Astyanax mexicanus: one gene and its partners. The protein of the gene in region 1 interacts with the protein of each later gene in a pairwise test. Links are inferred from orthologs where the notes say so. Each region holds a gene or a part of one and is shown in the gene's direction. Other genes may lie near its edges.

Region 1 (11,100 bases):
TAAAACCAACCAGAATAACAATTGACACTGCTACACTGATTGATACATATATTTATAAATAAAATAGAGAGCAAAATAGTGGCTGGATTGCTCATAAACAACATAAGTGATCATCTTCCAATTTGAGCAATCTTTTAAAATATGTTTAATATAAAAAAAATAAAAGTCAGGCACTTTTAAATGTATCTACAGAAACAGAACTCCAGAAGCTATCGCTGCTCTCGAGATTGACCTAATGAAACAGAACTGGACAGAAGTAAATGAAAATGATGATCCAAATAAGGCATATGATACTTTTCTGACTATAGTAACTGAGTTATATGAAAAAAATAAAAACTGTCCTTTAAGAAAATGTACAAGAAGCCACAAAACAGTGGAAAACCATGGATTACTAGAGGAATTGAAAGAAAAATGTACTTTATAAGATTTTTTAAAAACAAAGAACAAAATAAGCAGAAAACAAATATAAGACCTATAAAAATAAATGAACAAGTATTAGGAGAGATAGAAAAAAGAAATATTATCAGAAATTATTGGAACATCACAGGAATAATACTGTGGAAAGTGCTAAACAGCATAGTTAAAACATGTTTGGGAAAATTTTGTAAAAGAAGATAATACAATTTTACATCAAATCAAAGAAATTGCCGACAAATTTAATGCTTAGTTTGTGAATGTAGGACATAACTTAGCTAAAGAGATTGTAGAGCCAAGAAATATGCATGGAATAAATAAAGATATTATTCATAAAAACTCTCACTCCATTTTTATTAGGAGGACTGAGGAAAATGAAATACTGGATATTGTTAACAAATGAAAAAACAAGAAGTCCACTGACTGGAATGGAATAAATATGTGGCTGGTAAAAAAAAAAACTCATAAAGTGTATTATAAAACCTTTTCCTCATATCTGTAATCAGTCACTGCAAAAAGGTATATTTCCCCAAGAATTAAAACCAATGAAAACTGCAAAAGTCATTCCTATTTATAAAAGTGGAGACAGACACAATTTCTCTAATTACAGACCAGTTTATCTGCTTTACCAGTTTTCAAAAATACTAGAAAAAGTATTTGCTCATAGACATTTGCTCATAGAGCATTTTATAAAAGAAAACAATGTATTGAGCGATCACAAGTTTGGTTTCAGATCAGATAGGTCCACCTCGATGGCAGTGATGCAGCTAGTAGAAGAGAAAGCTACAGCAATAGACAAGAAGATATATACAGTGGGGGTGTTTATAGACTTAAAAAAAGCGTTTAACACTATTGATCACTATTTATTAATGAAAAAGTTAGAGAGATATGGTATTAGGGGAATAACATTCTCATGACTCAATAGTTACCTTAATAATAGATACCAATATGTTCAAATAAATAATATCAAGTCAGATTTTCTGAAGGTTACATGTGGTGTGTCACAAGGCTCAGTGTTAGGACCTAAATTGTTTAATCTGTACATAAACCATATTTGTAAGGCATCTAAAGTGTTACAATTTGTCCTATTTGCTCATAATACCAATTTATATTGCTCTGGAGAAAACTTGGAATGGCTTCTAAATACGGTAGAAAGAGAATTTAACATCTTAAAGAAATGGTTTGATGTTAATAAGCCATCATTAAATTTAAGAAAAACATAGTTTATGATCTTTGGTAATCAACAAATAAAAAGAAAATAAAAATTATGATCAATGATATTGAAATTGAAAGAGTGTATGAAAATAAATTTCTAGGTGTGATAATTGATCATAAATTATGTTGGAAACAACACATAAACCATGTAAAAACAAAACTGGCCAAAACCATTGTAATACTCTATAAAACTAAACATATTTTAAATCAGAAGTCACTATATTTACTGTACTGTTCCTTCATAGAGCCGTATATGACCTATTGTGTGGAAATATGGGGAAACACATATAAAACCAATACAAATCCAATTACCATACTACAGAAAAAAGCTATATGACTTATTAACCAATCAAACTGCAACAAACCAACCAATAAATTATTCATTAAATTACATGCTTTAAAATTCTGTGATTTAGTTGACTTTAATATTGCACAGATAATGTACAAAGCACAAAATAATTTACTCCTAAATTGTATTCAGGGGAAATTTAAAGAGAACAACTATGAACTTGGGGGAATAGATATATTTAAAAGAAATAGAGCAAGGACAAATATGTAAAACAGATGTGTATCAGTCAGAGGGGTAAAGCTGTGGAATAAATATAATGAATATTTAAGAATGTGTAGTTCACTCTATAAATTTAAAATAATGTTTAAAAACAGGGCAAATATATAAACAAATATATAACTGATAAATGAGCTGTCTATATATTGTGAACTTTCAAATGATTAATTATTTAAACCTTAATTTTCTTTTTTTTTTGTTTTTTTTTGTTTTGTCACAACATTTTATTTACTACATTTATTTACTGTATATATGGTAGGCAAAATAAGCTAAAGCTTCAGCCTATGTCTTTTCGGCTGTTATTGATTTAAATGCAAAATACAGGCTGAGATTTTTTCTTTTTTTCTTTGTCTTTTTTTCTTTATTATCTGTTTTTATGTGTGTAAAACGAAAAACTAAACTAAAAAAAAACAAATAAAAATCAGTGAACAGCTTTTTCTACACCACAGTGAAACACTACACACTGATGGAGTAAACACTCCCTTTAATTCCCCCAACTTTACTTTAAAGCTTTTCAATTAATAAAAAATGAAAGAAATATTTTAGTCATATTTTAAAAGAACCAAGTGTCTTTTTATTATGATGTAAATCAGAATTTTAATATTTTTTACAAAAACGTAGGTCTGGTGGTAGACAGTAAACATATTTGTTTGTCCCCACTGACCATCCTTACATATTTATTCCTCTTTTTAAATATAAAATTACAATTTCAATACACTCCCACAGTTTTTTCCAAACCCGCCACACCAAATAGTTTACCCCCTATAAAAATAATAATCAGCATTGAAGAATTTCCTGAATTATCATTCAGGAAATTACATCATCACACTTGTCTCTTGAAGGACAAACTGTAAATGGGCCATTCCACTGAATGGGTGCCATATGCCTGTTATAACTCTTCTGAATTAAACTCATTTTTTTTAATAACACGTGTATTTAACTATTTAAAACACATCAAAATCAGTTTTACAAGGTTTCTAATCCGAAGATGTTTACAAAACTCATGTGACATTTAAAAAGCATGTTTAAAAGCAAGTCCACCAATTCTTTTGATTTTCTCTCAAGAAACTCTTTATTTTAAAGAAATGTTTGAGAACATTTTATGACATTTGTTATGTTATAATATTTATGATCAAAAAATCACTGCTATTAATGCTGAAACTCCTGTTACTTATTATGGCATAGAATTAGCAAAAACATGAAAAATAGTTAAATGGCGGCTGTGCTAATAGCATGAGGACACTGAGCACATTCTAGTGATTTTCCCAAAATTTGTATTTTAAAAATAAACAAATAACATCTAAGAATGAATTTATGTAACAGGAGTGTTGAGATTGATAAGATCAAATACACAGAAAAACTAATGAGGAAACTTAATTCTGGTATTCCCATGATCTTCAGAAGAACCAGCTGATGTCACTTCCTGTTGTAGATGTGACTTCCTGTCGTAGAATGTTCCAGATGTTTCAAATGGGGTAATGTGTTACGGTAAAAGAACTGAGTGAAAACCCAGGAACATAACTAAAATGTGTAATTTCACTTAAATACTATGTTAAATAAATTATTTAATATTATTATTAAAAAAATATTATTTAAGCATAGATGAGATTTGGAGTCACACAACAATGCAAAAATTACATCTCTGAAGGACTTTAATAATTATATTTTATGGTAAAGTTTATAGTTAGAGAGTGGGGACAGGTAACTAATGCTATTTTTTTGTGTTCTATGTAGTTTTTATTAATGTTTTTAATTACATATCTTACTTTGGCAATTAGTCAGTGTGGATAACACTAAGTTTAATAATAAAATGTATTTTAAAGTTATTTTGTGTGCACATTTATACATACCATTTCCTGGGGGCAGAAATGGCACTGATTCAGTGGAATATGCCAAATAACCTTTCAGGAAACACACTTTTGTGATACGTTTAAAAAAAATGTAAAAGTAAAAAGAGGTGATTCTTATTTTTCTCATGCAGCTGGGGTTCCAGTTCTTTTAAATAAATTTAAAGGTAAGGTCTTGGAGATTTCCCCTTTTAGGGGAAGGAAAATAAATTTTAAGGGTGTTAAAACTGAGTAAAACAACATTTTGATCTCTAATGTTTATGGGCATAATCATAGTCCTGTTAATTTGAATATGTTTCAGGAAATCATTAAAATTATTTCAGACTTTTAAAAAAAACAAGTACATGGCCACATTGTTGTTTTTGTTAGGAAGTGATTTTACAGTTTTTTCCAAATGTTTAAACGCATTTCTAGAAACTTGGCTCAGTTTCTTAAAACTCTAAACACAAACTGAAAATGATTAACTGCTCCACAAATCTCTAGCAAGATGTAAATCGTTTTTTTCTTGAGAACTGGCATAATAAAGGAACAGAACATGTGCTTGATTTATTTGTACCTACTGTACCTTTATGAGTAAACACCTTTAAATGTCAAATCTCATTTAAAGAAGTGGTGAAAGATGGATGACTGTTTTTAGTAGACAATGTTTAGAAGTGTTCTTTGGCTTTTTATATATACAATATAGGACAATCATGCAAAAAAAGAGAAAAATCTAAGCTTTAATTCAAGTGTCTTTATTTGGTGGGGGAAAAAATCACACATTAAGAAATAAATATTTTAAATGAAATCATGTGTGCCACAATTATTGGCAGTGCTGGTGTTAGTACTTTAAAAACCTCTTTTTGCCAAGAAGCAGTTATAGGAGAAGATTTTTGCACTAAATCCTCTCCTATAACTCTTTACAAGATGGGAAAGAACAGAAAGAGGGATATTTCACCATTCCTCTTTCCACAACCTCCCTAAATCCTCCAGAGTCCTGGGTCTTCTCCTATGCTCTAATATTGGGGTAGTTTTTCCAAAATAAAGAGAGAATAAGGTAAAGAAAGAGGATGGGATTTTGTTGCCCAGAGTAAGATCAGATCAGATGATCAGATACCCTCAAAAATATTTCATTTAAGTTAGAGCAGATAATGGAAAATGCAGCTGTGAAGTGTTTTTGATATGTAAAAAGGATGTTTAAAATGAAAGAAACCTGTTCACTGTATATAATAGTTTGTGTGTCTGACTTTTGGGAGACTTTTGTTTTTTGGAGAGAGCAGTGTGACTGCTTTCGTTATCACTAATGATGCACTAACACCTGGAGATTATAGACTAGCACATGCTTTCTCTGATACATGTGAAGTCAGACCCCACCTCTTTTCTAACTGCTTTACCGAGTAGCCAGTGCTCTCGGTTCCTTAGTCCACTGGACCACTCGGAGCATTATATAAATTTAATGTGTAATTAAAGACGTTTTTTCAATTTATTTTTTTCATAGATGGATGGATGGATGGACGGTATGGTATAGATGGGTGGATGAATAAATGGATAGTATGGATGGACGGTATGGTACAGATGGGTGGATGGTATGGTATGGTATGGATGAATCAGTTGTATGGATGGATGGATGCTATGGTATGGTATGATATGGTAGAGATAGGTGGATAAATGGATGGATGGATGGATGGATGGTATGGTATGGATGGATGGACAGTATGGTATGGATGGATGGATGGTTGTATGGATGGATGGATTGTATGGATGGATGGATTGTATGGATGGCTGGATAAATGAATGGATGGATAGATGAATGGATGTATGGATGAATGGATGGACTTTATGGATGGATGAATGAATGAATGGTATGGATGGATTGTATGATTGGATGGATGAATAGATGGATGGATGGTATGTATGGATGGATGGATGGATGGTATGTATGGATGGATGGTATGTATGGATGGTATGGATGGATTGTATGATTGGATAGATAGATGTATAGATGGATGGATGAATAGATGCATGGATGGTATGTATGGATGGATGGATGGATGGATGGGTTGGATGGATGGATGGATGGATGGATGAATGGATGGATGTAGGGTATGATATAATAACTAAAAGCTGGTTTGTTATCTGAGGGCAGCACTCTGCTATAGAGGGTTAATAAAGCCGGGCGGACGCGACCCGCAGGGCTGCTGCTGCTCCTTTAAGACTCCGGCTCTATACCGGGGTATCCGCGCCGGGCTTTCCGCAGCTCCACCCTGCCTCCCCCGCTTCTCTTGCCGCTGCCGCTTATTGTTTTCCTCCGTCACCCCCGGTCGGGTCATGGCTACTCATTCCGTAGACGAATCGTTCCCTCTGCACGGGCTGCTCCCCAAGAAAGAGACCGGCGCCGCTTCTTTCCTCACCCGCTTTCCGGAGTACGATGGACGGGGCGTGCTCATCGCCGTCTTGGACACGGGAGTGGACCCGGGGGCGCCCGGCATGCAGGTAAATGCGAGAGCGCGGCTTCAGGAGAGAGCAGGCCGCAGGGCTGGATTCAGCCTGCTTATTTAAACACACACAGAGAGACAGCACGGGCTCAGCTTAAAGCGTGTAAAACACGGGTTTAGCTCCAAATGCGCCTAAAACGTAACAGCGTTTCTGATTAAACTGCCTGACTGACAAGATAACTAGTTAATCTAGCAGCTAGCTGTGTCATCCTTAGCTTAGCCAACCACTGACAAGCGATGCTAACCGAGGAACTATAGGCTGTAATGTTAGCTTAGCTTAGCTTAGTTAGCTCTATAATTAAGTCTGTCAAATATTACTAGTTTTATATTGCTGTTTAGATTAATGTAGACACTAAACATTTTCCTATAGCAATCTGCTTTAGCCCAACAGTACACCAGTAAAACAAGCTTTAACCCTTTATACAGGATTATACTAGTAAAAACTCAGATTCAGAATCAGTGTAATGTTATTTTACTGATCTAATCTCTTATTTCAGAGATCAGCTATCATGTTTATTAGCTTGTAATCTAATAATCAGATTTACAGATCCATAAAATCATTCTGAATAGTCATAGATCACTAACAGCACTTTCATATAATTATCAATAATTGTGAAATTCAGGTTGTGAGGAAACTGAACTAATGAATGGTACAACATATTTTGTTACAAGATCCAAACATTTAAAAATCTATATTTTTCCTGAAATTCTTCTTGTACCAAATGAAAAAGCGATAAAATAATTCTTTATTAATCCCACAGTGGAGAGGAAAAAAAACAATATCAAGAACTATACAAACAATATAATAACATCTATATACACAGGAAAATAAAGGTAAGAGAATATAAAATACTTTAAAAAAAGTATAAAACTAGGAAAACTAAGATTAGAGGAAACATGAGTTCCCTGTATGTTTGACCAGTGATATTTCACATAATCTGACAGTAAATAAATAGCAAATCTGTTACAAAATCTTAATTTTTTTCTGAAATTCTGATTGTGAGAGGAAGAAAGGAAAACTTGAAAATTAAGTAAAAAAAAAAAAGTTCTTTTTACTATTCTTCATAGAAAAAAATGATATAGAAAAAAACAGGTCAATAAAACATTCTAAAAATACCGTACATAACTATAATAAAATGTACTTTTTACTTACATGTAATTTCACTTTCTCTTTTATCTAAATTACATTTTTACTAGAATAAACTCCAATTATGAATATCTGTAATGACTTGTATCTAAAATTTTTAGATCCGTGTCTGTAAATTAGTTCTGAAGAGTACAAATGCAAAAAATGCCATTAATATGTCGTTAGTGAAGTTTAATATAAGTTGTGTATGGATCTGTCACAATAAGATTTTTTTGTGGAAGATGTATCATTCTAGAGATTATTGCAATAAACAGTATTGTTGTCATGCGGACATAATAAAATGTATAGAATAGCATAACAAAGCATTCATAACCTTGAATCATCAGTCACAGTTATTGAATCATTGGCTAAAATACAGTTTACTGTTATGTATATGAACAAAAATACAAATAAACCTAGTGGACGATATTATGATTATCCAAAAAATATTGCTGTCATGTTCATTAAATTCCATGTTGATGGTAATATATGCGTAGCCAGAATTATATTTAGAATATTTGGGCCTAGGAATTTAAATAGTCAGAATAGATTTATAGATCTGTACATTATCTGTATAACTGCTGTCATTTTAGCCTAAATGACTTTTGTTTTTGTTTGTTTGTTTGTTTGTTTGTTTTATATACTGACATCAACTGCTCACTACCACACAGCAGTAAGTGAAGCTGCATTAGCATTATGACATGGAGATAACAAACACACGGTTAGATCTGAATAGTGCTACATTTCTTAGCCTTTATAAGTAACATATCACTGCAAATAATGTTAGCTAGAACCAAAACTGAACTGGTGACGCTGTGAGTGATGGGTCTCATGGTGAGGGCCTATAAAACAGCCGGGCATGAACTCTACAAGCTCTGGCACCCGCAGCTGAAAGAGGATCAAGCACCTGTTGCCAGATTTCACCTCAACTGCCAGGAGTTCTGCTCACGCTTTCCTCTTTCTCTCAGATGACCAGGCGTCTCTAAAGTGCGCCACGTTTCCCCTGAACCCTGCTGTAGCTATGGGGTCCTGTGGCATTGGGCCCTTGGTACATATTTATTTAATTTAGTGGTGTATTTAAGTAATCACCTAGGCAGTGTCTGAAAAGTGCCCGAGATTTCCCTGCAAAAAAATCCAGATCAGGTCCAGCATGTGCGGATGGGGTTTGGAGGTCATGATGGTTGAAAAGCTGCTCATCCAAAAAAAAAAAAAAAAAAAGCATGCCCAGTATTGGTAAGCTTGCTGGTTAACCAGCTCCTGAAGAGCTTAGTGTTTGTTGAATTAGTTTCGGATCATGCATGGCCATGCTGGTTGAGCTGATTAATTACATTTTTAAACTATTGCAACAAAATAAGTATCAACATTTTATTTAGTATAAACAGAACAGTTGAGTCTATTCAGTGAGAACCAAAGAAAATCTATAATCTATTTTGAAAATAACAACTTGACTCTCATTTTGTATGCAGTAATAATATATATATATATATATATATATATATATATATATATATATATATATATATTTTTTCCCCTTCCTATCTCTATCAGTCTTGCTTTCAAACTTGTTTTCTATTCCTTTTTTCCCCCCTGTTATCTCATCTTCCCCCAATTATCCCATTTTCTTCATCCCCCAGCACCCTTCCCCAAATCCCTGTAATTGTAATCCCCCTTAACTATACTCACAAAAAAACACACAAAAACAGAAACTAGTAACTGCTGTAATGTGTACATAATCAAATAAATAAACAGTAAAGTACTAATAGTCCTCCAAAGAGGGGGGGTGGTGGCGGGCCAAAAAAAAAAAAAGTAATAATAGTGCAACAAAATAAAAAGTATAAAAAATGTCAACCACAAAAATAAAGCTTGTTTAGTGCATGTATATGAATTGCAAATTGAAATTTAAAAGTAAGTACAGTAAATAACAAAACAAATACAAGACAGACTGCTTTTACAGACTGTATAAATATCTTTTATAATCATGGCAAAAATGCTTGCAATATTATTACGTATTATACAATATGGCACACGTCTACTGGCTAGGTCAGGTTTATCATGCTTGTAAACCATCAAAATTTAACAAAAAACGACCCAATTCATCTCAAAATCATTGTTTTTTAGAAGGATATATGTTAATATTGACATTTTAATTAAGTATTCATCACCGTAAGAACAGAAACAGTGTCTCAAGTAAATGGTTACATACACTTCATATACTCTTCAGGTTTTGTGTATAACATTTCTAGATTAAAGTTCAATCATGTAAACAATTGGCTCATATTATTGAATGATCATTGGTTCCCCAACCTTCATACATGTGTGTGTGTGTATATATTTGTATATGTAAACTGATATGAATTATAAACTTTTTCTTTTTCAGACCACAACAGAGGGGAAGCCCAAGATTGTGGACATCATCGATACGACCGGCAGCGGAGACGTCAACATGTCCACAGTGGTGGAGCCCAAGGATGGAGTGGTGGCTGGGCTGTCTGGACGCACACTCAAGGTTAGAGTCTGTCCGTCAGCGCTGATCGAGAAGACTACACACCCTTTCACCATTTATTTCCTCACTCTATTCTCACATTACATCACTCTATACTGAAACCCAATCACTACAGTATTCCTGCTGCACCGGTCAGGTTTGCACAAGAGCTAACATGTTAGCTTTGGTTTCATTCATCCATTTCAGTGCACTGGTTTATCTACTGCTTACCTTTCAAACTTTATTCTCATTTTTCTGCAGATCCCTGAAGCCTGGGTGAATCCATCAGGGAAATATCACATTGGAGTTAAGAACGGTTATGAGTTTTTCCCTAAAGCTCTCAAAGAGAGAATACAGGTGAGTGTCTTTGTACAACATCAGTTCTAAAAAAGTTGTGATACTCTGTAAAATATAAATGAATGTAAATTTAATGATTTAGAGTAATTTGTTCACAACAGAACATAAAACAAATATCAGATGTTGAAAGTGAGACATTTTACCGTTTAATGAAAATGTAAATTCCTTAAAAACTTAATGACCGCAACATATTCTAAAAAGGTAGGGTTTGGACCATGTCTACCATGTCTATCCACAGACCTGCCAACATGTACGCATTTAGTACGTATATACGTATATAAGTACGTATATCATTTGACCTCTTTTTGCCATGTTGTCCACAGTTTGTCTGTGTGAGGGAGTTCACAGCGGCTCATGCTGTCGTGCTGGCCAGTTAGCATGAATGCTAATCCAGCAAGCTACTTATCGAGCCATCCGCTACTTTCATCAATGCTTCATTTTCCTCCATACTGTCAACACACAGTCACTGTGCTGAAGATTCTATGTCGCTCGGCCCCCCTTGTCGCTCGGCCCCCCTTGTCGCTCGGCCCCCCTTGTCGCTCGGCCCCCCTTGTCGCTCGGCCCCTGTGTCGCTCGGCCCCCGTGTCGCTCGGCCCCCATAAACTACCCTGGTGTATTAT
Region 2 (11,193 bases), on another chromosome or scaffold:
AAACATGTACCGTAGCTATAGAGAATAAAAAGACCCAAATAATGTACATATAGTTTATATGTAAAATATATTCTAACGTTCAGATAATACGTTATTTTGCAGTTTACTGTGAGTAAAGTATCAGAGGCAGCTCTGGGCTGTTTCATAGAGGGCCGGTGTTCTGTCGATTTATGCTACCCGTCGATACGTGCTTCCTAAAGGCACTGCGCATGCGCTAACCAGCGCGTTTTAATTATTTCTCGTGCTTTTGTTTTTTTACAATTAATCTGTTACAATCTGAACTCACTGTTATTGCACAAAGGTGTAAAAGGAAGTTAATAATTATAAAAAAATATATATATATAAAAAATACATAAGCAGTTTTGTAAATTACCTCTCATTGCCTTTAAATTAACTTTACCATGATACAGTGATTAATGCTATACAAATATACTAACCTACATCTACTGGGACTTTCACTGCGAACATGCTCTAATATAAAGCTTATTTTGTATTTGTACAGTTAAATATACACTAGGGTAGCACGGTTTGACAAGGTAGCAAAAATCGACACAACACCGGTCCTGCATGCACACAATAGGCTAATAGGCGAGAGGAGGAGGGGGGGATTATTTAATTGCTCTCCGTTACATCAGAGAATAAACAGGAGCAGAGAAAGATAAATATCACTGCGTGTTTTTGTGGAGTTGAGCTTTTATATACGAATAAATTAATAAATTACCTCAGCTGTCAAATATAAAACAGGAGACTGCAGATAGGCAGGCCCTGAATAAACCTCTTATCTCACACTATAGCAGCGATATCGTGTACTATACTACACAAATAATCTCTATAAATAAAATAAATAAGATAATTAAGCTTAATAAGCAGTGTGAGCATTCACACGCACACCCAGCACGCGCACAGAGAACCAGAGAACCGGAGAACCTGCAGGCGCTGCAGGGCTGAGCTCGGTTAGTGCACGGGGCAGGAGTACGGGAGCTGTAACGGTGGCGCGGCCTCGGTAAGAGCCCTGCTGTCTCCCTGTCCTCCTGTCCCTGTCTTTCTCTCTGACTGTCTCTCTATATCTCTCTGTCTGTCTGTTTGCAGGCCTGCACAGTAAACCCTCTGCAGACGCAGGGCGGGTGTTGCTCGGGCTCTTACCGTGCTCTGGTCTCCGGTCTCCGGGCTGCGGGACTCCGGTTCTGAGAGAGGAGGACACACTGAAGGAGAAACAGGCGGAGAGGGCAGGACGCGCCGCGCATGCGCACTCCTCTCACTCTCCCGCCTATCCGATCCCGAGTAGATATTAGGAATAAACGATGTTCTGTCGAGTTATGCTACCTATCAATATGTGCTTCTTTACCGCAACATTTTTATATGGTAATGTTTATAATGTTTTATGTTTATGTCACGATAATTCCTAGAATTCCTAAAGAAAAAAGAAACAAATAAACAGTAAAACAATAAAAATATATAGTTTCTAATCACGTATATGACATTCACTTTTGGACTTTACTTTATACAGTGATTTAGCCTATCCACATATCCTACCTACGCTTTTGCTGAGAGTATTTTCTAATATGGTGCTTTTTTTGTAACGTTACTTTTATCTTAAAAAAATTGTCCTAGTTCCTAGATGATAGTTTTCTACAATGATCTACAATTTAATAAAATTATAATATTAAAATAAAGAAAATGTATGGAGCCCACAATGTGACATCATGTTACATCATTTTTAAAAATAAATTGATTATTATTTTTAACATGATGTCTCCTTAGGGGCTCCGTATTAAAGTATTTCTTTATTATTATTTTGTTGTGTTTTTAATCTTTGTTAATGTTACCGCTTTTAACATTAAGCAACATTTATTAATCGCAATTAATGCAAATAAAACTGTTACAATGTTTTAAAAATGTAATAATTATTAAAGAGGGGGAAAAGCGGCGCTGTGTCTTTAAGCCGTTGCCATGGAGATAGACTCGGCTTGCTGCGTCATCAGGCGGTGTGTTTACGGGGCTGAAAACGGACTGAACCGAAAACGCGTTTAAATTACAGGTAACTTTATTAATCAGCCTGTTATTAATCAGCCTGTTATTAATCAGCCTGTTATTAATCAGCCCTACTGTTATCCGGGTTCAGGGTTAATTTATACACCGCTGAGTAATTCTGATCCGGACCCGCGGTTTAGCACAGCGCTCACACAGCTAGCTTTTATCTGTTATATATACATTATATCTATTCTATATACATTTAACACCGTATTAACCCCGAGAATATAAGTATAGTGCATTGTTATATGTTATAATAAATATATTAGATAAATATTATAAACAGTACTATTCAATGTCTTTCTTTATTTATTAAATGTATTTATTCAATAATTTGAATGTATGTTGGAGATTAATATATATAACTCTGTAGTAAAGAGTAAAAAAGTGTTATTCCTCCACATTAATCTCCTGATCTAAAGCTGATGATCTGAGATGGTGATTTGAGGTGATTTAATTGGGATGAGCTGGAGCTTCACAGCGTGAAGGAAAAGCAGCAGCTATTGTTCAGCACCTCCAGGAACTCCTTCCTTCAAGATGCTGAGAAAACTATTCCAGGTGACTCTAAATCATGAAGATACTGAGATTAAAAAAAACAAGAGTCTGCAGATCTGAACTCAAAGAGAAAGCCTGTGTCCAGACTGGTACTGAACACAAGATGAAATTTAGAAGAAAAATACCCTCATACTAAACAGATTTTAGTTTTTGAAGTGTGTGTGTATTCACTTTGTACAGTGGTATCTTAGTTTTATTCTACTTGTAAACATATTTGTGTTGTAACTCCTATAGTCTGGTGTTGATCAGACGCTGCTCTCTAGGTACCGTCCTCATCATGTTCTTCTACCATTGTAACTCTTGGTTTAGGAATTAAGGGACTGGAGAAATCATGTGTGAAGGACCTTCGATGATCTCTGGGCCCATTCCACCAGACCCCTCCCTCTTCCCCGAATACTACAGACGACCTACTTCTGGTAGGGATTTGGAAGTTATTTCACCAAACAACACCATAATAAAACATCTCTAAAACTGTATTTGTGTTCATACTGATGTCAGATGGTGACTGTGATCAGTTTTTTCATCAATCATTTATTTCCTTTGTGTCTTATCTTAATGTAATGTTATGTACTGTAATGTTTCCTGTCTATGAAGCTCGGGGTCGTCTGGAGGGGAATTCTAAAAGTGGATCTTTAACTCTAAATGGACCCTTAGCCCCAGACCCTGCTCTGCATCCAGGCTGTTACAGCGCCCGCCCCGCTCATCCTCCTCCTCGCATCGGCCCAAACGCCAAACACATTCTAGAAAGAAGCCAGAAAGGAGAGGTGGGGGCTCTCCTTAAACTGGAGGGAGTCTGCCTGAAGCCCCCCCCTGTTAAACACAGTAAGATTTAAAGCTGGGGATCACCACTGATTTACTAAATCCACTGTAAATCATCAATTCTGATTTAAAATATCCCTATTTGATTCAATATCAATTCATTAAGGTACATTTCAGTTACAATTTCAGGTTTAGCTCAGTCCATAACACAAAAAACAGTGTACATGTAATAAAACATACACATCGGCTGTGCTTCTCACACTTTTACACAACTTCAGTATCAGAAATCACTTTAAAAAGGATTTTTTATTCTAAAAATTAAATGGATTGATTTTCCTTTACTCTGAATATTAATATAACTGTGTCTGCATTTAAGGTGCAACAAAAACTCAAAAAAAGGAAAAAAATGCTTCACAAAAGAAGTTACATGTTAAGTTTTCTCTCTTATTTTTCTCCTCAGAACCTGCAGCTCAGGATTATGGGAAAGAGAACGTGCGACGGCTGCGTGAGATCCAGAGACGATTCCGTGAGCAGGAGGCGCAGAAAGAGCGAGCAAAGCCGGTTCCTGTCAAAGCCCTGTGGAGCTCTCCCAAATACCAGGACATCCCCTCCAGGGTCATGGCCCAGTTACAAGTAAGTATTTCATTTTTTTGGATGGAATTGAATGGAATTGTTGTTCAGCATTAATGTATAGTAATAGAGTAATGTATATTGTATAGTTTATAAACTTTGTGTGCTTGTGTTATCTCTTTCTGTACTTCTGTCTGAAGGAAAAAAGCCACCCCAAAAAGGCAGAATGCCAGAACTTCCTAAGAGCTCACTCTGTGTGTGGGGCGGGGGGTCGGCCTCAACCTAGTCGGCCTCAGTCTGTGTCGGCATCACCCTCTGAAAACGGGCAAAAACCTCAAACAGCAGATCCAGAGGTAAACTCACACATTCCTATAAACATACACACTTACACTGTTTATAGAAAACTGCTTATAACTGAAGCGAATGCAGTTAATTTCGTATACAACTGTGTTTTCATGTTATTAAAAATGAATATCTGATATCTCCTGGTGTAGATGGAGGTGAGAGGACACTTTGTTGACTTTGTGAGTCATAATGCACGCGCTGCGAGAAAGACCGCACTGAAACGCTCTCAGTCTCTACAGGACCTGAACAACAAGCAGCCGCCGAGCGCAGTGAAGGGCCGAGTCCCCCAGTAGTGAGTGATCATATCAAATATATTTAACACAGATCATAGAACATACATATTGACTGAGAGTTAAAACAAACCCAGAAGCATGATTGGAGCATTGTCTCTTTATTACAGTATTTACAGTATCTGCCCATATCAGTGTGTGTGATTGGTCATTGGTATGTTTTTTAATTTTTGCTTCTCTCTTCCTCTCTCTCTCCTTTGTTTTAGTCTGGAAGAAAGAAAGGAGCAGTGGAGGAGAGAGGCAGAAGAGAGACGGAGGAACGCTCCTGACCCGTCTGCACCTGCTGGACACACTCAGATGTCCGACAGAGAGAGGAGAGAAACTCTAAATTCACTCAGAGAAAGTATGTTTTCGCCAAAGCTCTAGTTACAGCTAGACCTGTAGACAACTACCGTGTAGAGATTAAGCTAGCTAACAGATTAAATAGATTAAAAGCATTTAGATTAGCTAATAGATTAAAATGTGTGTATATTAAAAATAGACAACTCTTTCAGTATCTAAACAGAGAAAAGTCAACTTATGTCAACCATGAAAATAGTGCAAGTATGCAGATATGTAATTAGCTGTGTAAATATGTAATGGACAGTAATGTGTACATGTAAATACTGTATAGTATTCAATACTGTTACTGTACTATAGGACTCTGTGGTTTGGGCTAAACTCTGTCTCTCTCTCTTTAGATCACAGGTCTCTGGTGAGTGAGCTGCTCTCTCTGCCGGTCAGGGCGGATACGGTGAGCGTGAGATCACGCCGAGCAGAGCTGGACCAGCGTCTGTCTGAAGTGGAGGAGGCCATCAAGATATTCTCTCGTGATAAAGTCTACGTAAAAAATGACTCTTAATAAACACAATTACAGTGTTCATTACTTACCCATCACATTTATCACATATAATCAAACACACTGAACCTCAGGTGTTTTGATAGACAAAATATATTTCTAAAATAAATAAATCATTAAATAACAAAGCATTAGTTAAAGTTTGTATTTGAAAGAGGAATCTATTCACTGTTAATTAATATCAATATAACAAAAATGTAATTGCCATAATTTGTGTTAAACTCTGAGAGGTGCATTATTTGTCTTCTTATTTATGGCATCACTCAGAAATGTAATTTTAAGGAATACATTTAAAATCTCAAGTGTTGATTTTTAATGTATATTTTCTGTGATTTCTGGAACTTTTATATTTTCATTAAGTGGCTTCAGCTAAAGACGTTTCAATATAATGATTTTCTGCCATTTTGCCGTTTTAAATCACTGTGCCTTTTACAGTATAATGAATGGGGTAGAATAGAAAAAGGTGGGTTAAAAAAATAATCTACCATATGTACTGCAGTCTAGTTTAAATTATGTTATTTAGTGTTAAAACTGTGGGAATGGTAAAGAAACAATGTTATTTTTGTTGTTAACAAAATATTAATTTAAATAATATATATTATTAATAACATAAATAACAACAAACAAACTATTTTTTACATAGTGCTGCCTAGGAATCCATGTGTGATCTGTGTGATGTGTTTGATCTGTGTGATCTATATGAGTTGAATAAATATTTCATGTGATTTTGAAGATGGTGCTTTGTCCCTTTTTTATTCACTTACTAATGCAGTACAGCCACAAATTCTACTAATCTTCAAATGTCCACAGTTTTGCAGTTTTTCTTTTTTTTGATATAGTTTAGACATACATTTTGACCTCAAGTAAAAAAAAAACATGAACGATGGTTAGACCTTATTGCATTAACTAATGTTAATTATGGGGCTTCGTGTGGTCCAGCGGGCTAAGCGCTGCCTCTATGATCAGGAGATTGTTGGTTAGAATCCCAGTCATGCAGCTTGCCATCAGCTGCCGGAGCCCCGAGAGAGCACTTTAGTCCTTACTCTCTCTGGGTGGGTACAGTAGATGGCTCGCTCTCTTTCCCCTGATCACTCCTAGGGTGATGTGGATCAGCACAAGGCTGCGTCTGTGAGCTGATGTATCAGAGCTGAGTATATATATATATATATATATATATATATATATATATATATATATATATATATATATATATATGTATATATACTGTATGTATATATACATATATATATATATATATATATATATATACACTGCATTATGTAGATTCGCTTTGTCCCAATTGGCGAGTCTAGTGGTGACGTGTAAGTAGTGGGAGGGGCTTATCTGTGGAGAGCAGCTGCAGACCCACAGCTTTGTCTCCAGCGTTTCACCCTCAAACTACCCCACAGTACAGATTACAGCGAATAAACCCCGAGATAAACACCGCACAGACCCGCAGATAAACATGAGTAAGCGCAAAGCCCCGCAGGAGACCCTGAACGAGGGAATCACCGACTTTCTCATCGGTAAGATTTACTCTTTTACCAACACAGTGAACACGGAGAGCACGGAGCTGACCGGTGTTCTGTCGAATCGTGCTACCCTTTGAAACCGTGCTACCCTAGTGTATAATTAACTGTAAAAATACAAAATAAGCTCTATTTTAGAGCATGTTGATGTAGGTTGGTATATTTGGATAGCATAAATCATTGTATTATTATACAATTCTGGCAATGAGAGGTTTTGTATGTATACATTTTTTAAATAATAATAACATTAATTGTTGTGTTACACTTTTGTGCAGTGACAGCGAGTCAAGGTTGTTTAATGTACACAAAAAAGATTTATTATTAAAAAAAAAACATGAGAAATGATTAAAAAGTGTAAGACAGCGCATGCGTAGTACCTTTAGGAAGCACGTATCGATGGGTAGCGTAACTCGACAGAACACCCCGGCTATAGCTTAGCTAGGGTTAGCTTAGCTAACGCTAATGTTAATGTTAGTTAGCGCAGCGGCTAAGTGTTCCTGCTGCTGTTGTCCTGACTTTTCTCTTACAAACTATTATTTATTACTCTTATAAACTGATACTAAAATATTTAGCTACAATATCTGATTATTATTGTGCTTTTATGTCTTATTCCATGGATTTAGCTCAACTCTAAGCTGCAGTTTAGCTCATGTTAATGTTGGCTAATGCTCATTAGCTGGCCTGAGGAAGCTAACTATTTATAACAAGCTAAGATTAGCTCGCTTAGCCTGCTAGGATAATAAAGAAAAATGACTAACTATGAATCTATTAGGTTCCCCTTTCAAATGTAAACAACTGTAAACTATCTACATAATTATCTAACTAAGTTATTTAGCTAACTAATACTTTTTTGTGGGTGAAATGAGCAGAAAGTAAAATCCAGTCAGCAGTCTGGGCTCTGGGTTTAAATCCCCTCCGATGATTTCTGATCATATCTGTGAATGTGTTTTACAAGAAAGCTAGTTGATACGCTAAATTCAGTGAGCAGCTTTTGGTACATGACTAAATATTTTAATACTACAATCTTGATGTAACACTGTAATCACATAACAACAATTTCATAACTGGTTTTGAAACATTATACTCTAGGAATAATGTCAGAATTCACTCAGGATGATCAGTATCAGTGTTACCGAAGAGCTTCATGTGTAAAAATCTAAGTTACTCTTCTAATCTGACGTTTTCTCTCTTTTAGAATTGGCCAATTATGAAAGAAATGTCAACAGGGCCATTCATAAATACAACGCCTACAGGTAATGCATTGTTGATTAATCACAGCAGTTCTGCTCTTGGTGTCTTTTTTTAGTGTTGCTTTTAAGTTTTTAATTCACTCCTAATCCTTTCTCTTTAGGAAAGCTGCCTCTGTGATTGCTAAATACCCACAAAAAATCAAAAGTGGCACTGAAGCAAAAAAGCTGGTACGTTTTAACTTTCCTTAATCATTTACTGACATTTTTATGTTTTTTATTAGAAGGAAATCAGAATTTATGAGGACATCGTGGTTATAATCTGAATGATATTATCTTTCTCCCATTCCTCATTCAGGATGGAGTTGGTGCAAAGATCGCTGAGAAAATAGATGAGTTTTTATCCACAGGGAAACTCCGTAAACTGGAGAAGGTAAGTCCTCTTAAATACTGGAGTAGTATTTACATTGTTAGTAGCTGTTTTTATCTTCATAGTGTCTAAAGTATAAAAAAATGGATTTGATCAGTGAAATCCGTTTTTATTTTGTAGTTTTTGCAGTGTTTTATCAGAAAGTGGCAGTTCAGAGAAGTTGTGAAATTCAAGATTTAAAGGTCTACTTACTTGCACAAAGAGAATCTCCATTATTATCAAGTCTTAAGGTGTTTTAAAGGTGTATTTGTTTTTATATTTAATAAATGTAAATCTTATCAACCAAAGGCTAAAGCTGAGAAGGAGAAAAGGTGTGCATAGACCTTAAACCACTGTGTGTACAAAATGACCCAATAATACTTTTTAAAAACATTTTGTGTAAGACTCTATCAGTTAGAACAGCAGAAAACAGTTCTGTAAAACATATTCACATCTGTACCGGTTTATCACATCTATCCTCTCCAGATTCGCAGTGACGACACCAGCTCATCTATTAACTTTTTAACTAGAGTGACTGGAATCGGGTATGTGGATTTTTGCCTTTATATAACAGTTTTCTCTGTATAATCTGTAATAAAGTATGTATTAATATCTTACTGTTCCTTTTCTTATTAGCCCGGCTGCTGCTAGAAAGTTCTTTGAGGAAGGAGTAAAAACTTTGGAAGGTTTGTTTCTCTGATTATGTATTTATGTCCTTTTCTGTTTTGTATGTTCTGATCACAATTTTATAAACTTTACAACTTTATTTCAGATCTGAAGAAAATTGAGCACAAACTGAATCACCATCAGCAAATTGGTCTTAAGTAAGTGTTAATTTTTATTAGATGAAGACCTTGAATTTTAGACCATATTTACATTGTTATTAATTTGCTATAGTAAAACTGTTTGTTTGTGTGTATATGTTATATGCATTTTTTTATGTTAATATATATGCAATATATCGTCTCTGTCCAATGAAAAACACTTATCTCCAAAACAGCAACTTTACAGGAGAGAGAAAAAAAAACCTTGTAAACTTTCAATGGAAGTCAATGTAAAAAGAGTTTATTTCAGGTCATTTTGAAGAAGAGTTTCTATTGGTCTGTTCATCAAAACATTTTAGCACAGTGTAAGAGACAGTTTTTCTGTTTAAATTATTTAGTAAACTAAAAATCAACAAAAAATGGACATAAGTGTTTTTCATTGACAGCGACTATATACAACAATATCTGGATTAAAAAGTGATATGTTTTTTTTTTATTATTATTCCTAAAGATACTTTGAAGAATTTGAGAAGAGAATTCCCCGCTCAGAGATGCAGAAAATGGAGGTGGGACATTATTCCTTTAGGCAATATAAAAGTGTCTGTTTATTTAATTTCAGCACTAATAGTGATTAAAGGCAGAAAATCCAGTGAAAAATGTCTTGATGTGTGGCTCTCTCATGTTTTTAACACCAGTTAATACCAGTATTTATAAAATCCTGCAGCGTGAGGCAGGTATTACATGACCGTCAGCTGTGCTGGATTTGATCACTAGAGGGTGGTAGATCTGCAGGATCAGGACTGGGTGCTCCTATTACAGTCTGATCTGTATTAGTAGTATCTGTAGTAATATATTAATGTATTAACGTGCTGTTTTTTATGTTGCAGGCTCTGATATTACAAGAATTAGAGGAGTTGGACTCGGAGTACATTGGCACCATCTGTGGCAGCTACCGACGAGGTTTGCTCATTTGCTGTGTTACATAAATAAATAGTTATTTATGGATTGTTGATGTGCTGCATAGTTACTTGCTAACAGATGGAAAACAGTGTAAATATGTGTTATAGAGCGCCGAAAAAAAAGAAGAGAGCACTTAAAAATGATGAGTTTCTTTGATTTTACTTAATTAAAAACCTCTGGAATATAATAAAGAGGAAGATGGATGATCACAAACCATCAAACCACCAAACTGAACTGCTTGAATTTTTACACCAGGAGTAAAGCAGCATAAAGTTATCCAAAAGCAGTGTGTAAGACTGGTGGAGGAGAACATGATGCTAAGATGCATGTTGAAAAAAACTGTGATTAAAAACCAGGATTATTCCACCAAATATTGAAGCAATTTTGGCTGAAGAATAAAAATAGAGCAAAAAAATGCATAAACCCATGTATTTAAGAGTAGCTTTTCTTTGATGAACATGTATATGATATGCTTCTGTTTCAGGCGCGGAATCGAGTGGTGATATTGATATCCTGCTGACTCACCCGGACTTTACTTCAGAGTCTGAGAAACAAGTAAGCACTTACTTATGCAAAAATTATCATATGCATAATAATAATAATCCTTAATTATTAGTTCAGATATGAGCAAGCAACTTTCTGTTTACACAGACACAAACATTACTTTTTGTCTCTCTTTTTCCTTTGTAACAAAAAATAAACAAACTCCAGATTAGTTAGTGTAAACGTGTTGATGGGATTATAAATGGGCAAACGGCAAAATTCTGCACTGTAATTTTATTATTAATTTATTTGATATTTTACTCAAACTGTTTTTAATGAAGTTTTAGTTTTTTTTAAAGACAGCTACTCTTAACTATTAAGGTTAATGCATTTTTTCTTTTGTTCTGTTTTTATTCTTCAGCCGAAACTGCTTCATGCAGTGGTGGAACACCTGGAGTCGATTGGCTTTATTA
Region 3 (10,562 bases), on another chromosome or scaffold:
AACACACTTGTGGATGCCCAAAAACACACTTGGAGATGCCCAAAAGGACACTTGGAGATGCCAAAAAGGACACTTGGAGATGCCAAAAAGGACACTTGGAGATGCCAAAAAGGACACTTGGAGATGCCAAAAAGGACACTTGGAGATGCCAAAAAGGACACTTGGAAATGTCAAAAAGGACACTTGGAGATGCCCAAAGTGAAACTTGGAGATGCCCAAGCGGACACTTGGAGATGCCCAAAAGGAAACTTGGAGATGCCCAAAAGGACACTTTGAGATGCCCAAAAGGACACTTTGAGATGCCCAAAAACACACTTGAAGATGCCAAAAGGGACACTTGGAGATGCCCAAAGTGACACTTGGAGATGCCCAAAAGGACACTTGGAGATGCCCAAAAGGACACTTGGAGATGCCCAAAAGGACACTTGGAGATGCCCAAAAGGACACTTGGAGATGCCCAAAAGGACACTTAAGGATGCTCAAAGAGACACTGGCAGATGCCAAAAAGGACACTTTGAGATGCCCAAAAACACACTTGAAGATGCCAAAAAGGACACTTGGAGATGCCCAAAGTGACACTTGGAGATTCCCAAAGTGACACTTGGAGATTCCCAAAGTGACACTTGGAGATTCCCAAAGTGACACTTGGAGATGCCCAAAAGGACACTTGGAGATGCCCAAAAGGACACTTAAGGATGTTCAAAGAGACACTTGGAGATGCCCAAAAGGACGCTTGGAGATGCCCAAAAGGACACTTGGAGATGCCCAAAAGGACACTTAAGGTTGCTCAAAGAGACACTTGGAGATGCCCAAAAGGACGCTTGGAGATGCCCAAAAGGACACTTAAGGTTGCTCAAAGAGACACTTGGAGATGCCCAAAAGGACGCTTGGAGATGCCCAAAAGGACACTTGGAGATGTAAAAAAGTAGCATTTGGAGATGTCCAAAAGGTCATTCGGAGATGCCCAAAGTAATACTTTGAGATGCGCCAAAGCACACTTGGACATGCTCATAAATGACACTTGGAGATGCTCTCAAATGTACATTCAGAGATGCCCAAAAATACACTTGGACAGTTGGAGTTCCGCAAAGCGTAATGTGAAGATGCCTAAAAGGACAGCTACAGCACATACAGAACAAGCACATATTATAGCAATTGGCACATATTAAAGTAGCCAACACACTTTTAAATTTTTGATATGCTCTAATGTGCAGCTCGGCTGTATTTTGTATCTGTATACAAAGGGTCCTTCACTTTGGAACAGTCCTCTATGATGTAGGGGCCGAGAAATATAGCCTAGGATTTGTGTGCCAGTTACTTTGTAGCTCCAACAAGAAGCAGAAAATGCTTCACATTGTTAGAAAAGAAATCTTCTCATGCCCCCTCAGAACTCTTCTATCAAATAAAATTTAATCAGCATTAAAGAAACTCTTTCACTAGTGTAATACTGCAGTAAACAGCCTGTAAAACAGGATGGTTCATTTCCAGCGCCTCCCTGCAGTCCGTCACTGCAGCGACAGGACAGCACGCTCGAGTAATCTCCAGATTAAAGCGTTATCAGTGTCCTGGGGTCAGGCTGGACATCGTCTTGTGTGCAGAGCTGGGAAGCAAAGAAGAAACAAGGGTTATCTTACTGTATTTAATTAAGATTACGTAAAACTTAAAAAAATTTCACACTCATTACAGTATCCTATTTACAATAAAACGTATTTCTAAAGACCTGTTCATTGTCTCTGTCTCTTTCACTTATCAATTCTCTATTCCAGTGAATCAGGTTCCCACTGAACTACAGTCTGTAATTATAGAACTACAAAGTGCTCCTACAATATACAGCTCTCGAAAAAATTAAGAGACCACTACAGTTTCTGAATCAGTTTCTGTGATTTTGCTTTTTATAGGTAAAATGAACATGTTGTTTTATTCTATAAACTACAGACAACATTTCTCACAAATTCCAAATTGAAATATTGTAATATTGTTGAAATCGATATTTAGTGGAATAATTCTGGTTTTTAATCACAGTTTTTATGCATCTTGGCATGTTCTCCTCCACCAGACTTGCACATTGCTTTTGGATAAGTTTATGCCACTCCTGGTGCAAAACTTCAAGCAGTTCAGTTTGGTTTGATGGCTTGTGATCATCCATCTTCCTCTTGATTATATTCCAGAGTTTTTTTAATTTGGTAAAATTAAAGAAACTCATCATTTTTAAGTGGTCTCATTTTTTTTGCTCAGTGGGGCTAAAATAAATGAAAAATGAGTGTAGAGACAAGGAGGTGGTCATAAAGGTATGCTTGATCATTGTGTATATAACTTCATTCAAACAAAAGGATGTATAGAATATAAAACGATCATAAAAATCAAATACGTCTACTATTACTGTCAATAATAATAATGGTGATTAACATGATAATTATTGTTAGGATTATTCTTTGAATATAATTTATTCAGTTTTATATCTTCAGTGTGTTGCTCCATGAATAGTTGGCACCTCCTGGTGGATGGCTGTAGTGTCACCCCTGGTAAATTGCTCCACTAAGCTCCTTGGTGTTTTACTTCAGTGTGTTCACCTACAGCAGATGATCACTCACTGACTGACCCCTCTGGGGTCACCCTATGGTGGGTTGCTCCAAAAACACCTCTAAGGATCACTCTGAGGTCATTTTATGAGTCATTTATCCTGAACTATCCTCTGATGGATCTCTCTGGAGTTGCACTCTAATACCCATTTTGCCTCATGATAAAAATACTCCAGGGTCACTATCTGACAGTTTTCTTGGGGTCCTATCTGATGGATGTCCTGAGGTCAATGTCTGATGAATCTGTATACCAATCCACTAGGGACAGTTACTTTTTACATTTTACAGCTGACAGGATCTGATAAACTGTTAAATGTAAAAATTGTGGCATAAACAATTGGGACACAGTGTTTAGGTCCTATTTTAAGATACTAACTTGTTATTTTGAGTCATTATTTGAGTCATTAGTATGAGAGGTTGCCTCATTATTTTGAGATACCTAGTCGTTATTTTGATATGTTTTTTCATTATTTTAAAATGTAAGTCAATATTTTGAGATACTAAGTCATTTTTTATGTTATCATTACATTGAGATACCAAGTCATTATTTTGAGATAGTAAGTCATTATTTTGAAATGTTCTCCTTATTTTGTGATTCCAATTTGTTAATTTGAGATAATAAGTCATTATCTTAATATTCCAAGTCAGTATTTTGAGATACCAAGTCATTATTTTGAGATACTAAGTCATTATTTTGAAATAGTAAGTCATTATTTTGAAATGTTCTCATTATTTTTGGATCCCAATTCGTTAATTTGAGATAATAAGTAATTATTTTAATATACCAAGTCCTTATTTTAATATACCATGTCTATATTTTGATATGTTTTTTTATTATTTTGTGACACCAAGATATAATGAGAAGATATTATGTCTGTTTTTAATCATGAAGAATTTGTGTTGATTCCTGTTACTGATTTTAAATTATTAAGTAAAGTAGAGAGTGATCAGGCAGCTTCTTAAAGTGTCCTGTAGGAGTCTCCAAAGCCCTCAAAGTATTAAGAATGTAATTAACTAATTTTACTGCAGAGAAAAGGGGATTTGTATCGTCTACACTTGTGGCCAAGGATATTTCAGCTTACTCAACTTTCATCTATACAACTTTTATCTATACAACATACTACATACTCAAACACTAGACAGTAATTAGTACACAATTGGGATGCAAAATTAGTCTATGACTATGCCTCATCCCTGTCTGGGAAACCAACAAATCGAAGTGTGTGATACACAATTGGGACACAGCCACAGTCTGTTTAAGTCATTATTTTCCGTTGTTATTTTGAGATATTAAGTCATTATTTAAAAAGAATTATTCCATTATTTCAAAATACCAATTAATTATTTTGAGATACCTAGTCATTATTTTGAGATGTCATTATTTTGAGACGCGACCATGGTCTATGACTAGGCCTAATCCCTGTCTGGGAAACAAACCCATAATGTTGTGTGATACACAATTGGGACGCAGCTGCAGTGTTTAGGTTATTATTTTAAGATACTAAGTTGTTATTTTGAGCTATTAAGTCATTATTATGAGCTATTAATTTGTTATTTTGAAATACCAAGTCATGATTTTGAGACACCAAGTTATATTGGGATACTAAGTCATCATTTTTAAAATGTTATTTCATTATTTTAAGATTCTAAGTTACTTAGTTTAAGGAAAGTCATTATTTTAAAATGTTTTTTCATTATTTGTCATTATTTTGAGATACCAAGGCCCAGTCCATTTCACCCCTAGGCCCAACCACTTAGCCCTACCCTTGTTTTGCACTGCAAGCCAAGGGGTAAGCTGGCCCGATTCTTGTTAGGGGCACCTAAAGAACCCCACAATTTTAAGTCGATAATTTCCTTGTTAAAAATGACGATAACCATTATATTACCATAGTTTAACGTGTAGTTTCAACTTTTTATAGCCAGTTTGTTTGTCTTAGTAGTCAGCTAGTTAGCTAGCTTCATTTCACTTTTCAAATACCACTGTGTTCGTCTGCTATATGATATATTTAACTGAAATTGCTGATCCAAACAACCAGTGATTTATAAAGGAAAATCATGAAAATGATCAGAAGTGCCCAAACTTTTTCATACCACTGTAATACATAAATTCCGCATCTCCATAAAAAAAGTCCATAAAAACTTCACTGATTGTGGAAACTTCACACTAGACCTCAAGCAGCTTGTGCTGTGTACCTCTCCACTCTTCCTCCAGACACTGGTCTCTTGATTTCCAAATGAAATGTAAAGTTTACAGATGATCCATGAGTGATGGTTTGGAGAGTCATCTGCTGGTGTTGGTCCACTGTTATATCAAGTCCAAAGTCAGTGCACTGTTTTCCCGGAAATCTTACAGCAGTTCGTGCTGCCCTCTGCTGATAACTTTTTATGGAGGTGAGGATTTCATTTTCCAGCAGGACTTGGCACACTTCCCACACTGTCAAAAGTACCAATTGGTCTTATATAATATTCTAATTTTCTGAGACACTGATTTTTAGGTTTTCATTGGCTGACTCTGTGTGTAATACATCTATATAATATATGAGTTTTAAATTTTTAACTGAATTACCAAAAGTAACATTTCAATCATATATTTTTTTGAGAAGCACCTGCAAATCTGTATCAGGTGCTTGAAGGGTTGTTCCAATTCGTAGGGGACAGATTTAGACCCGTCCCCTTCTAACTCTGTTTCAAGGGGAAGGGAACAAAAAAGAAATGGGATTGGGCCCAAGCCGTTATTTTGTTTCCTGTCTGTGTTAATTATAAGCAGATAGACAATATTACTGTATAATTTAGTAATATATATATAGTATATAAAATTCAGTCAGGATGTTTGAGAGCCCCCTGTCGGTCCGCTGCAGTGTCGCCGCGCCGGGTCCTCCCCCTGTCCGGTTGTTATGGAGAAGCTTTTCCCCCGCGGCGCGCAGACACCCCGCAGCCGACCGGGACTCAGCCAGGGCCGGGGAAGAGCTCCCGAATTCACCGCACCGCCAGCTTCCCACAGGTCTGTCACCTATCTAACTTCCTCCTGCTGTTTGTGGTGACCCGCGGCTGGGTGCGAGGTGTGTTCGCGCAGGTGGGCTGGTTCAGGTCGGTTCTGTAACAGGTTGCTGTGTCGAGCTAACAGCTTTAGCCACTTCCGACTCTCCATACCGCCGTCTGACTACTACTACTATTCCCACTGCCGACTGGACAACCAGAATTACCCACTACTGCAAAACAACGGCTTTAACAGCTGTTTTTACCGTCCTGTAGGGACTTTTTGACGGGTTTCATTCAGTCAGGCTGCGGGTGGAGGACCCGGCGGCTGTACGGGGGCTAAAGTTGATTAGCAGGCTAAGCTCGGTAACGGTAGACGGAGGTGAGCGGCGGTACTCCGGTATAAACGGAGCCGGAGGAAAATACCTGGATACACTGTCAGCAGCGAGCGGGTAAAAATATGTTTATATAGCAAAACTAAGTTTTCTTTTCTTAAAACGTGTTTTTTTAACTAGTTACCTAATTCTGTAGTGAGTAAGTCGTGTACAGTGGCTGTTAAAAGTTTGTGAAAAAAACATTTTCTATATTTCTGGCTAAATTTGGGTAAAGCATTACAATACGGGCCATAAATAACCGTTAAAACATTTGTTAAATGGTTTAATAATGCCTCAGATAATTGTTAAATTAAATTAGTTAAGACATTATTAAACATTACTAAACCAAGAACGCTGTAATCGATGAATTGAGACATTTTACTTAATAATAAAAAAGTGCTTTTCTATTTTAGGTGGTTGGAATGGGCTTCCACAGAAAACTGTTTTTTTTTTGTTTTGAATAAACATTTAACCATTTTTAAAGTACAGTTAAATACATGTGTTAAATGAAAGGTTAATTAAACAAACATTTAGACTTTTAAAATGTTTGATGTACTCTTATTGTTAAACGTTAGTTACCTAAATGTATTCCAAAACCTCATCAAATTATCACACTAGTCCTAAAAGTAGGAGGAGAATTAATTCAAACAAATAAGACTTGCTCAAAAATGTATTGAAGAAAAGATCCATTATTACAGATCTGTCAGTGGCAATTAATACTACTCCTAAATCATAATGCTAACATTAACCTCAGTAATCAAAAGTAAAAATTGTAATTACAGTAATTTTGAATGTTTTTGTGGTTCGCAAATATCAAATGTTCTTATGTCCTTCCACAGTCCTACCAAAAATTTTAAAGGAAAAAGGATGTCTTTCCTAGTGTTAATAAATAATCAGTCAAGACATTCTGTCATAAGTACTATTAATTTATGAAACCTTATTGTAAAATGTTACCTAAATTTGTCCCAAAACTTATCACGATAATCCTTAAAGTAGACAAAAAAATATTTATCAATAAAATAAGACAAAAAATAGACTTGCTCAATTATTTATTAACGAAAGGAACCAATATTACAGATCTGTCAGTGGCAAAAGTGTAATGAGTAAATATAATGTAATATAATAATAATTTCTCAGGGACACGCCTGTAAAAACAAAAAAAAAAAAACAAAAAAAAAACACAATTCTCCTGAGTGATAAAACTTGGGTTGGGATGGTAATAAATTTAACGTATTGATCACATTCTTGACAGCTGCGATTAAGTGGTCGGAGATGTACTGGTTAAACAGCATTTTGAGTTAAAAGGTTATTGTTTAGCAATTCGGAAAGTGTTCACTGGTAGAATCCAATACTAAAGAATCCAATATTACAGATCTGTGACCGGCAAAAGTGGCATATAACGTATGTGAAGTTGATCATCGGTAATCAAACATAAATCATTTCACTCTTTAAGATATTTGTAAGTAGAGTTTTTTTTCTACTCCAAAAGTGTTTTTGTGTGATTGGCAAACATCAAATGTCCTCACAAACTGGTCAGTTTTGATCTACCACAATCCTACCACACGTGGTTCCCACAAATATAGAAAAACTCATCCTTCTGCACACACACTGTCTCACACACGGGCATATAAACACTCATTATCTCAGATTCAGCAGATTATGGCCATTGCACCACAGCACAGATTTTCACCAGCAACTGCTAAACCCCTCTCAGTGCTTTTTATAGGACAGAGGTGTACAGAGCGAGTGTTTTGTCACGTGTTAATATATAATAATATACGTGTGTGTATATATAAGACTGCTGTTCGAATCCTCAGACTGCATGCAGCGGAGGAAGCTGTCTTTACACCCTAAAAGACAGGAAAAGTTTATGTTTGACTGGGATAAGGACCTGAAAGCACAGTAAATCCATCACGGCACTGTCAAAAAGCATGATTTGTCACTGTTTTTGATGATCTACATGTTTAGGTTTAAGTCGCCAGCCTGCGGGCTGTTCAGCTTTTTCACTTTAATGTTCTGGTTCACTTTTCTCCTCCCTCAGGACTGTTGATCCTCCGTCCTTTTTCCTTGCCCTGCTGACTCACTTCCTCCCTAGCTTCTTTCCTCTTCCTCTCAGGCCTCCTTTTCCTTCATTGTGGAGTTGTATGCCACTGGCTGCAGTGTGTAGGTTGACAGGCCTCCAGTACAGTATAAACAATGTTTTCAATCATTGGGTTGAAATGTAGCAATTTATTCCAGCGACAGGGAGATCATTATGGAGTGCCGTCTCGTTTCAGCTTGAATCGACTCTACTCTTTTGGGAAGGCTTTCCAGAAGGCGTTGGAGTTTGTCTGTGGAAATTGTGTGTGAGGTCAGGCACTGGTGTTGAATTAGAAGGCCTGGCTTGCGGTGGGCATTCCAGTTCATCCCTAAAGGTGTTCAGTGAGGCTGAGGTCAAGGCTCTGTTTAGAGTTCCTCCACAGTTTTTCAGTTATTCTCACACCATGTGGAGTGCAGGCATGCTGGATCAGAAAAGGTCTTCCCTTAAATGTTTCTGTGACATCAGAAGTGTATAATTGTGTAAAATGTCTTTCTGATTGGTAAACACTGCAGCACTCTGACACTGCTCTATGTTTATGGTGTGCTGCTTTGTGGCTGGGTTGTTGCTTCAGATCTAGCAGGGCAGAAGTTTCACAAACTGACCTTTTTGTCTTGGTCTGTTTAAAGACCGCACATGCTATGGTTCTAGATTGCTTTGCTTCTATTGCTTTGCAATAGAACATAATAGGCAAGCATGTTGATAGTCATATCTTTGAAACCAGAGCTAATGATACCGGCTAAATTGATGTATGAAGTAAAGAAATAAAAGTGTTGCATGTGTCTTCAAAAGAAAATGACGCATTATAGGGTTTCCTTTATATTTCTATGTATATTTGTTGAATGAAACACAAAATACATGCAGTGGGGTAACAAGTTAAGTCCGTGTTAAGCCTTATCTGGATGGGATTAGTTAGACCAGTGAGGTTTTTTTTTTGGGGGGGGGCTTTCTCGGTCACATGACATAAAGCGTTCAGTAGCTCCTCCATTTCCACTCACTGTTGTGTTTACGTGGATCTCCGTGGAAACGCGTGCCCAAAGTGTAATTATGGTGCCTGGCAGTGGACAAATGGCTGTTTTATTAAACGTAAGGTGACTAATCTCAGAGATGTGCGTCTAGGCTGGACTTAAAATACTGTAGGGAATTCAACCTGTCATTTTCTCAGAGGTCAATCCGGATAGGAATAAAATCACAGAGGAACCCCCATAAAAGAGAAAATTACCCAAGGACCCTCTGAAAAACTAATTCTGTCCGGATAGGGCTTTAGAAGTTTTCTGGTCATAAATAGGGAACAGTCTAATCATGGTTTGTAATGGGATGCAATTACTATTTACATAAATAAATAAAACATCCCCTTATTGTGTTGTACGTGCACAGAAAACAGTGGGTAATCAACGGTTGTGAATACATTAGTCGTGTCCTCGAAATCACTCTGAATGTCGGCTGCATATCTCAGCTGTAGATGAAAGGTCCTTCACTTTGAAACAGCCTTCTCTGGCATAGCCGCTGAGAAATGCGGGCTTTCGGATGCAGCCAAAGAGGAGAGGACCCTTCGTGTGATACCAATTTGTGGCTGTTGCTGCTCATTTATCGCTCAGTCTTTATTATGGCTGCGTTTTTGGCCGAACCACTTCTCAATTATTATTATTATTTTTTTTATCAGACGCTCAGTGATGACAGGAAATTTTTCAACCTGAACCAGCCTCATAATGACAACCCCAAGCAACAACTCTGGCCTAATCACAGAGAACAGAGCGAGAGAGAACGTTGCTCAACCCTCATTCCTCCGGCCCTTGAACCCCTGCCCAGTAGTTTAATCTCCAGCTGAATATCTGCGGAGGCTCTCTGCACCTCCCTCGGCTTTGGAATGGTTTAGCGAGCAATTAAAACACAAAGGCCGGCGCAGCGAGGCTGTATACAGATAAGCCTGGTCATGTGTGCGGTGGGATTTCTCTAGAACTGCCCTGCAATCACTGCAACAAAAAAAACACAGCCAAGCACTGGAGCAAGAGAAAGGGGTGTTTTTATTGGCGATCAGAGGTGTGTGTATATAGAGTTGCCTAAATGCACAATACATTAATAGTACAGATACTTACAAAAAAAAGTATACAGTATTGATACAGTATATCGAAATATTTAACAAAGTTTAAGAATAAAATATCAGTATTTATTTTAAAACACCAAAATACAACATACTTTACAATCTGTTGAATTATAATATGGACTAATGAACTAATGAACTAATTTTTGAGATGGTCAAATAAATTTGTTATACTGCTCCTTTAATTATGATATTTCTACATGCATGGACAATACTTTGATATTATATATATATATATATATATATAGATAGATAGATAGATAGATATAGAATGGGACTTGATGGAGCAGATAAACATGAACTCCTCCATTGTGAACAGTCTGAATCTGTAGCTTCTCTAGAATGGCTCATTTCACAACTAACCACTTCACTTCTAAACCATTTAGTTATGCAAAAATGGTTGAATTGCGCTTCAGTTGCAGTGGTATGTCTTAGTCCATCTTGCGTCTTTAACT

What was found.
Region 2: the proteins of tpp2 (region 1) and polb interact in binary tests that used the Homo sapiens proteins (3 or more experiments, as listed by UniProt). The two-hybrid records come from large-scale screens. The link is inferred for Astyanax mexicanus from reciprocal best matches to the Homo sapiens genes TPP2 and POLB.
Region 3: the proteins of tpp2 (region 1) and ppp1r16a interact in binary tests that used the Homo sapiens proteins (3 or more experiments, as listed by UniProt). The two-hybrid records come from large-scale screens. The link is inferred for Astyanax mexicanus from reciprocal best matches to the Homo sapiens genes TPP2 and PPP1R16A.

What each region holds. Positions count from the first base shown.
Region 1 is NC_064428.1:8,695,465-8,706,564, reverse strand, and holds the start of tpp2 (tripeptidyl-peptidase 2), read left to right. Parts: upstream 1-6,238; 5' UTR 6,239-6,348; coding exon 6,349-6,513; intron 6,514-10,018; coding exon 10,019-10,147; intron 10,148-10,384; coding exon 10,385-10,480; intron 10,481-11,100. UniProt on the Homo sapiens protein: Cytosolic tripeptidyl-peptidase that releases N-terminal tripeptides from polypeptides and is a component of the proteolytic cascade acting downstream of the 26S proteasome in the ubiquitin-proteasome pathway.
Region 2 is NC_064419.1:255,563-266,755, forward strand, and holds the start of polb (DNA polymerase beta), read left to right. Parts: upstream 1-6,705; 5' UTR 6,706-6,853; coding exon 6,854-6,914; intron 6,915-8,112; coding exon 8,113-8,170; intron 8,171-8,268; coding exon 8,269-8,335; intron 8,336-8,462; coding exon 8,463-8,537; intron 8,538-8,999; coding exon 9,000-9,058; intron 9,059-9,149; coding exon 9,150-9,199; intron 9,200-9,285; coding exon 9,286-9,337; intron 9,338-9,788; coding exon 9,789-9,843; intron 9,844-10,164; coding exon 10,165-10,237; intron 10,238-10,721; coding exon 10,722-10,792; intron 10,793-11,141; coding exon 11,142-11,193. Other genes in the region: vdac3 (voltage-dependent anion-selective channel protein 3), read right to left, coding at 1,144-1,244; enkd1 (enkurin domain-containing protein 1), read left to right, coding at 2,918-3,002, 3,181-3,408, 3,806-3,978, 4,116-4,268, 4,410-4,552, 4,757-4,893, 5,231-5,391.
Region 3 is NC_064422.1:19,168,225-19,178,786, reverse strand, and holds the start of ppp1r16a (protein phosphatase 1 regulatory subunit 16A), read left to right. Parts: upstream 1-5,446; 5' UTR 5,447-5,580; intron 5,581-10,562. UniProt on the Homo sapiens protein: Inhibits protein phosphatase 1 activity toward phosphorylase, myosin light chain and myosin substrates.